Arabidopsis thaliana: one gene and its partners. The protein of the gene in region 2 purifies or fractionates together with the protein of the main gene of each other region. This does not show direct contact. Each region holds a gene or a part of one and is shown on either strand. Other genes may lie near its edges.

Region 1 (4,469 bases), on a different chromosome or scaffold from region 2:
GGTGAGAAAGTCTCGGAATTTTGCCCACGTGTAAAATATTGAACTAACAATTATAACTAACCCTATCCCAAAATGTCGGACCAGTTTGGACCGATCGACCAGTCGAAAAGTCTATATCATATAGTTAAAACTGTGACCTCATTACAATTATTGGAAGCAACTCGACCATGTCCTGTTCAAGCATTTAATATATAAATCCTATCACGTGTTCATCTGTGACTCTGCGCCAAGATTTCTGAAAAACACACTTTTTGCAATGGACCCAATGATTTTGTTCATCGCTCATCGGTCATACTGACATACTATGTTTTTGACAAAAAAAAACAAAAGTTGCATAGATTCATGCAAAAATTATTAGGCTTCTTTGCTAGATAACTAAATTAGCGGTAAACTTGACCCCAATTGTAAATAAAATAATATTAGGTTATGATTTAGAAACATATAGTGATATCATATAATATAGTTTGTCATCGGATAAATTAGTACATGATATTTGTTTAAAAAGACGCGTAAAATCTGGTTGATTTTTTATTATGAAATTTATTTAAGATTTTGCAATCAGTATTCTTTGCAAATTAAAGACCATATATTGTTCATTTATGCTATAACTAAAACTAATCATATATTGTTGATTATAATCAATGAATTCTCTTAGAGATATACAACTCCGATCCATTTATTATTAAAAATTTTAGCACATAACTTCTCTTGGAGATTGAAGTAAACCATTATTTAACACAAAATTATCAACTGCCCATGCCAGAACAACTAAGGAACATATATACCCAATAGATTCATTGGATATGATCCCAAATTTCAACTTTTAATAACTTAATAGTATACTCCTTCCCACACAACAATACAATCAATTCAAACACTCACCAATCACCAAACTAAGCAAGAACCGGAATCCCTTGCTGAGACCGGAAAAAATTAGTCCGGTCGAACCGGGCTTTAATCTTAACCAATCTCAAATAATTCCCTTTGAAATAACTATCCCCATAAACCTTAGCTCCTTCATACGTCGCATTATACCCCGGCGTAGTAATTCCGATATCGACATCTCTATAATTAAAGAAAGCTTCTCTCGGATTCTTGGAAACAAACGGAGCCATAGCTTCTTTAAAACTTCTTGCAATCGCCAAGAACTTCTCTTCAAGCTCATCTCCAGGTCTATACCAATTCATGAAATGCTCAATCATGAAAACATTACCACCTCTATGCACAAACGCCGTCGCATCAGACGCTATCTCAGCCATTTTCCCTCCCCATGGATTCCATTGCATCCAAACTCGTCGTGGAAGTGGCGAATGATCAATCATTGTTTGAAAAATCTTTGCAAGACCCTGTTTTGAGATTGGTGCTTGAACAAAATCTGAAGTACGTTTCCAGTAGTATTCGTTGGTTGATACTCTTTTGAGAAGTAACTCTATCGGTGCTTTTTCTGGATAATTCGCCCAGAAAACACTAGATTCGATCCATTTCTTGACCATACAATCTTCTTTCGTTAAATGTAGCTCAGGGAAACTCTGTTTCGTTATGTTTAAAAGTCTCTCAGGTAAACCAAGAAACATTCCGATGAAGGAGACTTTAATCGTCTTACCTTTTGAGATTTTCCGGTTTATTGGTTTAATCTCTAACCGGATAAACAAATCTCTGTCGATAACCGGAGCTACTTGTTGCCATTTATGAACTAAATCAACGGCTCCTTCTCTCACCGTTCTTTCTAGTTTAAAAACTGTGACTTTCTCCGGAACCCTAACGAGTTTTATCTTCCAGGCAAGAATGACTCCGTAGCTTCCGCCGCCTCCGCCGCGAATAGCCCAAAACACGTCTTCTCCCATAGCTTGACGGTTACGGTACACTTTACCGTTGGCGTCCATGATTTGAGCGTCGATTATATGATCAATGGATAAACCGTATTTTCTCATGAGGTTACCGAATCCTCCGCCGCTGAAATGTCCTCCGGCGCCGACTTTAGGACAAACTCCGGCGGGAAAAGCGTGGACTTTGCTTTTACTTGCAATGTTATAGTAAAGCTGACCTAGTGAAGCTCCGGATTGGATCCAAACGGTTTCGTCTTTCATGTTGATATCGATTTTGTTGAAGTTGTACATGTCTAAGATTACGAAAGGTACCGGAGAAGTGTAGGAGAAGCCTTCGTAGTCGTGGCCTCCGCTTCGGATTCTTAGCTCGAGGTTTAGGAGTTTGCAGCAAGAGATTGTTGCTCTTATGTGAGTTTCGGTGACGGCGGCGACGATAACTTCTGGTTTTCTTGTGGAGACAGAAGCGAACCGGAGGTTTCTGACGCCGTTCATTAGGTTTGTTGAGAAAGATGAGTTTGTTGGGATCACGGCGGTTCTTGAGTTGGGACTGCCGTGGTCGGATGGTTGAGTGTCGAGGCATCGGAGAAAATGCTCCGGTATAGATAATGACGGTGGTGATGAGTTGACTTGTTGAATTATGAGATAGATAATAATTATAAGAAACGTTAATGGTCGTGACCAAAACTTCATTTTCGTTTTGTTATTTGTGATTGGTTTTTGAATAATGAAATAGCTTTGTTGGGTTTGTGTGTGTATTTATAGCCAATAGAGTAGTATAGTCTTTGTATTTAATTTTCCAGGGAATATTCGGCGATATATATATATATATATATATCACGATAATATTCAATTCAATTTGAAGTTTCTATAGATATTAGTGTAGTTTTCTTATTTTGTTGTTTATATCCGCTTGTATTTTGTATAGTATGAGTAAAAGTATGCAAATTGGATATAAGTTCCGTAGAAGATATTGGTTACTTTGACATATTTAAAAAGTAACAGTAAGAGTTACTTTAGTTTAAGATTTGTCGACGATAGGATGCCAGAATTCCACGACCTGTCAGTCACCTCACCAATGATCAACTAGGATATGATTTGATTAATGTTTTTTGGTGAATTTTTTTTTTATAGGTAAAACATAATTAACAAAACGGACTTTAATTGTTTTTATATGTAAAACATAATCTACTAAACGGACTTTATTTGTTTATTATCAAATTAAATAGAGTAGTATGTGTTTCTTTCTTTTTTTGGGACCCTTGGTAGTTAATTGTTGCATGTGGCGTGATTAAATTAGGTCTTAGAGCAAATCCAAGGCGATCAAATACAGAAGAGCTACGTAAGAAGGTCAACACGTGTCGTTATGGATAAGTTGATGAAAAATACGTACCTGCAATAAAATTGTCCACATGAATTTCTTATCACACGAGGACTTTTGATCGGCGAGGACGGTGAGTGTAGTTATGATTCTCGTGAAGGCAAAGATAAAAAAGACAAGTGTTGTTTTAATCAGTGAATCAAAATCAACCAAATAGGCTTCTTTTCTCTTTACTCTAAACTCTTATCTGTAAAAGATTCCCTTTTCTGTTATCTCCAAAAGTCATACAATAAAAGAGATGGTCTTATAGCATTAACATATCTGCATATGTATAATGTAGTGGTCGTGGATCAATTTGTGCTTACGAATCCAATTATCCAATAGAGTTCCCACAAGATTCAGAAATTTGTTAAAAGAAAGACCAGTTCATTTTTATTTTTGTTAAAGATCGAAAGACCAGTTCATCTGTTTATAAGTTATAGTTTCAAAATAAGGTTTAATTATGAGGTCACATGCATATTATGAAACTAAACATATATATCTCTAGCTAGTCTAGCTATTTTGTTTTCAAGTTTATTGTGAAGTGTTTAGACCAAAATGGTAATGTTTCCCCTCCGGGCTACTACAAACCATTATTCTCGAAATTTTCCTTTGCTCAAAATTGAAGTACTTAAAGAGTTCTTTCTTGTTTTGTTATAGTACTTATTTGTCTGAATATAGCGTTCATCCATTTTGTACAACTGCACAGTATATAATATTTGGCGTCGGTTACCCACCGCTTCGACCATAGTGGATTTGGATCCACCTAACAAATATGTTAGAGCATCCTTGACATACCTCAGTATTTAGTATTATCTAAACGTAATTAGTTTTATCCTAGTCTCTCTTATATATGTGTAATTCTTTGAATACACCATGCATGAATATCACGTTCTAATAATTTATATAGGCTCCCAACATCATGAGCTTAATTCAAGTTTAGGATCGGAAAACAAATCAAAACTAAACTAGTTTGAAGCTTAGTATATATATGATTGGAGATTTGCAAAACTACCCATTTTTTACTATTTTTTTGCAACAATACCCTTTTATGTTTTCCATTTTTAAAAGTACCCTTTCCCTTGAACAAAATGACCAAATTACCCTCATCTAATAGAAACATGTAATTGGAAACTGAACTTTTCCCGCCAATTTTTTGGCGCCAAAATTTTTATTTTCCGCCAAAAAAAAAATTTCCGCCAAACTTTTTTCCCGCCAAAAAAAACAATTCCTGCCAAAAACTTTTTCGTAACAATTTTCCTCAGCTAAAAAAATGATTTTAAAAA
Region 2 (4,268 bases):
AATCAGGTTTATTATTATACAGAATGCATGATAAATTATGTCATGATCAAAATCAGTATATATAAGCTACATACTGATAAATAAAATAAAAGGCATATAAATGATTGATTGAATCTAGATGAGCCTTTTCGATACTTAAATGTTTCAAAGTTTTCTTTGGCATAAAGAACGGAGGCAAGGGAGAAGAACTTCTTCACCAACCCCACTGACCATTTTCAGAAAATACTTAATACCTAAATTACTAAAATTTGTAGGAATTTCGGTGATTAAATTCACTAGATTACTTTTTCACCTGACAATAATAAATATTACCCCCATTTTGAGGTATTTTGATTGCTTTAAGAATTCGGAAGTTTCCAAATTTGAATGTTTAGTTATTTGTTGTTACCTAACAAATAAAGATAGATTTGTTTAGTTCAAAGAGAACAAACTTTAGTCGCCATTAAAACAGTTAAGGATAGATTTGTAGTTACAGATAACATATTATCATGCATAAAAAAATTCAAAAGTTACTAATAATATGAAACGAGTACTTACAAAGCAATCAATTTGGTCTCCTAGGCCCCAACACATCTTCCTTTCTTTAGTTATCAATTTTATTACAAAATTAAATACAACAAATAACATTATTATCCTCTATACCCACTAACATTTTTTAAAAAGGTCAGATACCTTTAAATAAATTAATTAGTACTAATACAAGCTTTGATCATTCTTGCTGCAAAACCGAATGCATTATTAAATTTGATAAAGTAGAAACAAAATGATTTTTTATTATTTTATATGCATTCTTCACATTTCCGAGTACAGTTTTTACACGTCATTACAAAACGACAAAAAGCAAAGAGAGAGCCCTATCCACAATCCAAACCCGAGACCCAAACCCGAAAGATTTTTTTATACACACGCTCGCGTGCAACTTGATTTTGACTACACATGCCGTCTAGATCTCGTCATCGCTCTCACTACTATGCCACGTGTCTTACTCACATCCCTTGGATCAAACCAGAGTCTTGCACGTCGAACTCTGCGGATCCCACATCGCCGGCAATAGATATTTCCTACCGGCGAGTCCACGAGCGTTGTAACTAGACCCGGTTGTTTTGTCAACAAGTACCCGACCCGCGTAACCCGGATAAGAACCTGACCCGAATATACCAGGACAAGCAGACACAGCTTCAAGCGGTGCAGTTGGTGGGCCTTGGTAATATCCGTTATTAAACGGATTCGTCACGGTGTTAGCTAGAAGTGTGGCAAGGTTTATAATCATTCCGTCAACTCCAACGTCACCGTTAGGCGCTACTAACGGCGGCGTTTGTGGTCCGTAAATCGGCTGGTGAAACGGCCACGCGCAATATCCAGGGCACTGCGTCTCGGAGTTCCCGACCCATACGTAAGCCGCGCCGTTAGCTGCGCGACGGGGATTCGAACCGGAGGATCCGTGAGTCCCGCACCGGCTCATACAGAATCTTTCGACGGTAACATCTTTCGCCGTTAGAACGACGGTTATGGAACGGAGACCGCCGTTAAGTTTGGTGGATAAAGCACGGAGGTAAGGATTTTTGAGAGATTTTCCGAGAGGATAGTTCTCGAGTAGAAGCTGTTTCCCGACGACGAGTGTTGAAGAGCCACCTTTGTATTTCTCCGTCGTCTTCCACCACGAAGCAACGGAAGGAACTGCGGCGGAAGATGCAACGTCTTTGGAGTTTAGCGAGTGGATGAAATCGACGATTACGGACCGTTGGATCGGTGTGAATTTCCCGTACCATACGAGATTGACTGTGATGTTACCTTTCAACAGAACTCCGTTGTGGTATTTCATAACAAGCGGCTGCTCCTCGACCAACGCGGCGGCGGAGAAACCAGCGGTGGCGAAAAAGAGAGTGAGGAAGATGGCAAAACGGTAATTAGAAGCCATTGAGAAGGGTAGTTATATCAGATTGAAGAGATATAGGAGAGGTTTTGATTTGGGGTTTATAAAGATATACAGAGGTATTTATACCAGAGATGTTGTTTTGAAACCGAGAGAGGAGTGTGACAGCTGTAGTGGCTAAGGTGTCAATATCAAAGATTGCCACGTGGAGAGATGTGAGTGGGTAGGGAAGGGTGTTTGACAGCCTGTAAGGTTCTTATAGTGTGACGTGGTTTAAGTCTTCATAACGTGTATTAAATTTAAGTGATGCTTAGCCGATAAATTTGTTATCAAACAAAGAAAATAAAATTAGTGTAAGATATTTTGCCATGCAGAGAGACAGATCCATTTGTAAAAGAAGATTAATAAGTGAAAAAAGAAACTTTAAAAGTAGTGTTTAGTAAGATAGCTTTATTCTCTGAATGCAGTAGTTTTCTTTTAATCTTTGAAAGTCTATTAATACAAACCGAGTAAGTTTAAATGCAAAACCCACTTTAAATTTTAATGCAAGAAATTGATTATGAAATTCAGCTAATAGCTACTAGTATTAAAATGTAGTTATTAGATCAACTGGTTTTTTAAAGAAATTGGTTGTAGTTGTTTTGGTTTTGAATACCAAGATATACATTGATTCAACACATATATTATCAGAAACCAGTTTGATTTGACTATATATTTTGCCATTGTTTCAATTACACATATCTTTCCCTTGTTTCAATATAAACATAAATCTCATCTACTCTTATATATTGCCATTCATGATTAACCATAGACTTATATACTCTTTATAAAGATCTGTATTAGTTGAGTAACTATTTTTCCGTCTAGCATATAAACACATCCTATACACATTTTTATTTTCAGTCACCTGCCAACCATGAAATTTTAATATCACTTTACACTATGCCCAAAAAAAACAAAAAAAACGTCGTCACTTTAACTCGTTCTCTGACTCCGCCTCGCAATCTCACATCATGAGGCATGGTATTGGACATGCTCTATACGCAAATACATTGAGCAGTAATTGTTTGACCATATAATAGAAGAAAAGTCCATTACTCGTTCTAATAATACGGTTCTGATACCAAAAAAAAGAATTCTATATATTAAGAAATGAATTAAAGAGATTTGGGATTATTTAGGGAAGGTTCCTTCCTTTCCTTCCATAGAGGCGCCACTGATTTTAAGAAAGGTACACAGAGAGGTTGATGATACCGTGTGTGTGCCATAATCAACTTTACTTGGGGGAGGTCCCTTTAGGTCTCCGTGGGGACCACAGATTCATACGTATTTTACTCTAGAACAGTGTGTGTATTTATGTATAGTTATATACTTATAGCTTAAGGTGTATGTATATAAATATACGGGTGCACTCGAGTAGTTAGTTCAGTCGTGTAGTAAGCAAGATACGCCTCGACGTAGCGTACGAACCACGCTCTTACAGTCCATTATTGCCTTTTACATCTTCAGGGTCCACTCTTGCTTTATTTTGAAAAACTCTTTTTGGTTTGATTTAACAAAAAAGTTATACGAAAAGTATATATTCCACACTAAGAAAAAAAAACACGTTTTATTTTGTATTACCATCTTTTTTGGCATAAAGAAGATTTTTATGTTTTCTTCTATAGTGGAGGAGCTCACATAACTAAAAATAAAAATAAAAAAAATAGAAAATCAAACGAGGGTATGTGATGTGAGGCCCATATACAAGTACTGTTTATTAAAACTTAAAAGAAGGATAAGTCACGTGTCAGACGTACTCCGTAGTAATAGCATAATAGGATTCGTAGTAATCCACTTTAGCTCTCTCTCTGCCTCTACAAAATATATCTTCTCACGTGAAATTTTTCTACTCTAGTTATGTGATAAATGAATAGCAAAAGTTACAATATTGTTACTTGGATGAGTTTACTTTGAAGAGTGACACATGAGTTTACTTTGTCGTGTATATACTTGGATGGATGCACCGGTCACTTTTGGTAGGATAGAACCACACACTTTGATCATCATTTAGCTTGGCTCTTGATTCTTTAAAAATATAATTGCGCTTTGAACGTAAAAACAATTTCGTATAATTAGGTCGAGTAAAAACCTTATATATCGTTATACTTGACTTGTTAACATTTGAAACACACAATATTGAGTTCGAGCGTCGGGGTTAACTATGCGTACGTCGAATTGAAAAAAAAAAGAAGAAGTAATTTTCGATTTTAGGAACATCGCCAATGGTGGACTTAGCTTACGATAAACTTGCTCTAAAAAGAATGTCCACTTTATATTAATGATTAGTTTAGTCGAATGATTTAGTGAATACAGTATCATTTTATATTAAAGGAGAGCTTTAAAATTGTGAGAG
Region 3 (4,032 bases), about 19 Mb from region 2:
ACATTCCATGAGACACCCTTGTAGCTCTTTCACCAGATAGCATATTGGATCTTAAATAATTTCAACTAATTAGTATCAAAACTACTATCTCCATTAATTTCTGTCGGAAATCATCGGAGAAATTAAGGGCATACAAGTCCATATTTTTCCTTCTTTGAGACTATCATGAACGTGTTGTTGTGACAAGTATATGTCTTCTTCTTTATTTACTTTAAAAATTCCTAAAAAGGTGAATTTGCATCAATCACTTAAATTCGTAATTTTATTACCATTATTTTCTGAAATAATTTAACCTTTCTATCATTTGAACAATTGATGCTAGTTTTTATTTTGTATCTTTTTTCAATGATGCAAATTAAGATAGATTAGTATCAATTTAATTTAGTTGATGTCAAATAATTAGTTATGGCATTACTTATTGTAATTGACGTTAAATCAAATTTTGTATCTGTTATAAATAAGTAACTCAAATTAACATCATTTATTTTTGATATAATTTATTTTATGCAATACATTTTTTGTAGTAACTTTTGAATTTCAAATCTAAATTGCAATTTCTAATAAGAAATACAGAATACTTTAGATAATTATTAATGTGCAAAATCCTCAGACAATATTTTTTATCAAAACAAGCGAATATCAAATTTGAATAAAATAACATAGACGATATTTATGAGAAACGGGTGATAATTTCTTAAAATTTCGATTAGAACACATGTGTCGCTGAAAACGTGTCATACAAGACCAAAAACTGTGATACTATCATGAGTGACTGATGATTCTATTTTTGGGAAGGCCAAGTGGAGCAGCTTGTGTTATGGAGCAAGAGTGACTCACTAAAAGCGAGAACCGTCCCGCTGAAATCGAACTCGAGCATATGATCTTGAAGCTGATGTGTCCCAATCACCATCAAATCCTTCGGTGTCTTTCCACCGTCGATAAACGCCAAACACATCACCGTTTCCTTCACTTTCACCACCGTATTCGCACCGTAGAACCCCCACTTTACCTCCCCTATCCTCCCCGGCAGACCAATCTCTATCACGGGCACGTTAGGCCCCGCCGTCAAATTCTTTCCAGCGGTGCGTGAATCAAAACAATGTTTAAACGGCGCCACCGATGGAACCTTAGCTATTCCCATAGCCTGTATATATAGTTCACACCAAAACAAACAAGACAGAAAAGAGGTTATATCAGCTTATCTATATACAACAAAAAAATAACATTAGCAACGTTATAATTTAAAGGAACACATTTCTAATAATCGTTTAATAAGATATTTTATTTTAAAAATCTCAAATCATGGTTCACTCCACAGGAACTCCAATAAAGAGATAAGAAATTTTATACATGAATAATATATTTTGTTTTGAATACCTTAGCCTTGAGTGTAAAAGACTGAGCAAGAGCATTGTAGATATCGGTTTGAAGTACGGTGTAGTGAACCACCGTACTGAGTTTGGCTCCGCCGGTTAGCAAATCAGGGTTCAACTTCAAAGCAGTTCCACCAACGTAGATAGATTTTACAGTGATTAGATAATCTCCTGAGTCAGTGCCTTTAATGGGAGTTAAAGTCCTTGGAATCGGATTATCGCTACTATTGAATGGTGGGATAAAGTAGTGAATGCCGGCGATATAGAAATGACCGGTACCGGAAGAAGGCAAGCAGAGAGAGAATTTAGGGATGACGTTAAACGCTGACGTCACTTGTTTCGTGAACGACGAAGATCCGGGAGAAAGAGCCAGAACTCCGTCGACTGGAGGAGGAAGGCCTTGGAGGGCTTTCTCACCGGCGCATGAGAATGTGAAGTGGCGGACGGAGACTTGAGAGAGGAACTTGCCGCCGTCTGTGGTGTAGAGGGAAGCTCTGTCTTGGACGACACGGCCGGTTACAACGGGGTTTTGTCCGAGTGGGTTTGGTTGCTTGTAAAGACAAGATTTGCCAGCGCATCCATTACCGGGGATAGACTTGCATGTGGAGCTCTGGCAAGTGACTAGGCGGAGAGATGATAAAGATTTAAGTTTGCGGCAGTCGAGCCACGTGAGGTTTGTTCCGAGGTCGAGGAGGAGGTTTACAGGAGATTTTGCGGCGGATCCGACGTTGAAAGTGGTGTAGAATAGATTGGTGGGTTCGTGCTTGGTGATCGGAAGAAGGTATTGAGAGTTTGATTTCAGAGCTATGGCTGCGAAAATGGAAAGGAAGACTAGTAGGCGCGTGAGGCTACTACCCATCTCTATTATATTCAGGTTATAATTTTTTTTGGTAAATGAAATGATGAATGTGATTGTTTGTGATGGAGATGGACTACGATGTATGTTATTTATAGATGTAAAATACATTTTGGATCTAAGAATTAAAATGGTGATTAGTACATTTTTTAACACAAAAGTGATGGTATTCTTGAATGTTTGAGATTCGCGTTGAGATTTGTTTTCCTAAAAGTTGAATTACGCGGAATCTTAAAAAATGAGAGTATTTTTGCATGTGTTACACATGACAACAATTAATTATATGAAAAAATGAAGATTAGTCGGTGCATCTGAAGTCGTATAATGTTATGCAAAATGAGGTCTGATCAAGTATACTCGCGTGGTGGGTATATGTCACAATTCATATTCTTTTCTTTTCAAATAGTTTTCGAGTTCTTCTTTATGCATGATCTTAATCCTTAATATAGCAGCAATACATACTAGAAAGTCTTGAAAGATCTTATAATTTAAATCAAATCATTTGTATTTTCAATTTTATAGGAATAGAAACGATTTTCGCTAAAATAATCCATTAACGACTCTATTTTTTCATCGACAAGGACTTAATTTACAATTTTACATAACGAATCCAAACATATTGGGCCATATTGCCAGGCCCACGTATAAATGAGCTCAATATTAATCTTCATAACACCACATTGCTTATATTGCAACAATTAATTTTTATTTGAAAACAATGGAGAAAGATGGGTCGGTGTATCTTAGTATGCTAGTTTAAGTATCATTTAACATTAATTGGTACGTAATGTATGCAAAATGAGTGTTGAATTCTTTTATACCTGATCATAAAAAGTCTTGCAGGATCGTAAAGTTCATATGCTGTATGAAGAAAAATGATTTTTCATTCAAATAAACCATTAACGGCTCTCGTTATTTCGTTATTAAAGACCGTTGATTTGTTTTATATATAACGCCATGCAAACCATTGGGCCATATAAGTTTCTGAAGACGCCCATATATAAACGAGCCCAATCTTAATTTCATAATACATGTTAACATCACAAAATTTACAAGTACCAAGCCAACTACTCCAACTGGCATAGGGTATAAACTTTATGGATATTCCTATAAAACATCCTTTCACACGTGCCAAAAATCATCAAATCGTCTCCTTTTTCTTTTGAGCTTTTAATAAAATGGATAAACATTGACCAAAACAAAATAAAAAGAAAAGAAAAAGTCCCCACCAAAGAGCGAAACGACACAACAAGTCTACTCAGCACTTACCTTAAAATGAACCAATCCTTATCGTTTCAGTTTTTTCACATTCACAATAAACCAGCGTCGGCCCACCGCATCCCAAACCATAACGCTTAATCCTTAAAAACCGTCCAGATCCATTTCCTTCCTCTAAAACTCATCACACACACTTCTAATGGCTTCTTCTTCTTGTTTGAATCTCTTCTTCTTCTCTTTTCTCTCCGCTCTAATCATTTCTAAATCTCAGATCTCTGATTCCGTTAACGGGGTCGTTTTCCCTGTTGTTAAAGACCTTCCAACCGGTCAATACCTCGCACAGATTCGACTCGGTGACTCACCGGATCCAGTCAAGCTCGTAGTCGATCTGGCCGGCTCAATTCTCTGGTTTGATTGTTCCTCAAGACATGTTTCCTCGTCAAGGAACCTAATATCCGGTAGCTCTAGCGGCTGCTTAAAGGCAAAAGTTGGAAATGAACGAGTATCATCATCATCATCATCGCGTAAAGACCAAAACGCCGATTGCGAATTACTTGTTAAAAACGACGCCTTTGGGATTACGGC

What was found.
Region 1: the proteins of EXL2 (region 2) and AT2G34810 fractionate together in Arabidopsis thaliana (co-fractionation; one large-scale study listed by BioGRID). This does not show direct contact.
Region 3: the proteins of EXL2 (region 2) and AT5G19110 fractionate together in Arabidopsis thaliana (co-fractionation; one large-scale study listed by BioGRID). This does not show direct contact.

Annotation. Positions count from the first base shown.
Region 1 is NC_003071.7:14,683,339-14,687,807, reverse strand, and holds AT2G34810 (FAD-binding Berberine family protein), read right to left. Parts: upstream 2,639-4,469; 5' UTR 2,517-2,638; coding exon 894-2,516; 3' UTR 592-893; downstream 1-591.
Region 2 is NC_003076.8:25,701,630-25,705,897, reverse strand, and holds EXL2 (EXORDIUM like 2), read right to left. Parts: upstream 2,250-4,268; 5' UTR 1,919-2,249; coding exon 1,001-1,918; 3' UTR 559-1,000; downstream 1-558. UniProt on the Arabidopsis thaliana protein: May play a role in a brassinosteroid-dependent regulation of growth and development.
Region 3 is NC_003076.8:6,410,939-6,414,970, forward strand, and holds AT5G19110 (Eukaryotic aspartyl protease family protein), read right to left. Parts: upstream 2,374-4,032; 5' UTR 2,341-2,373; coding exon 1,378-2,340; intron 1,145-1,377; coding exon 782-1,144; 3' UTR 505-781; downstream 1-504. Other genes in the region: AT5G19120 (Eukaryotic aspartyl protease family protein), read left to right, coding at 3,647-4,032.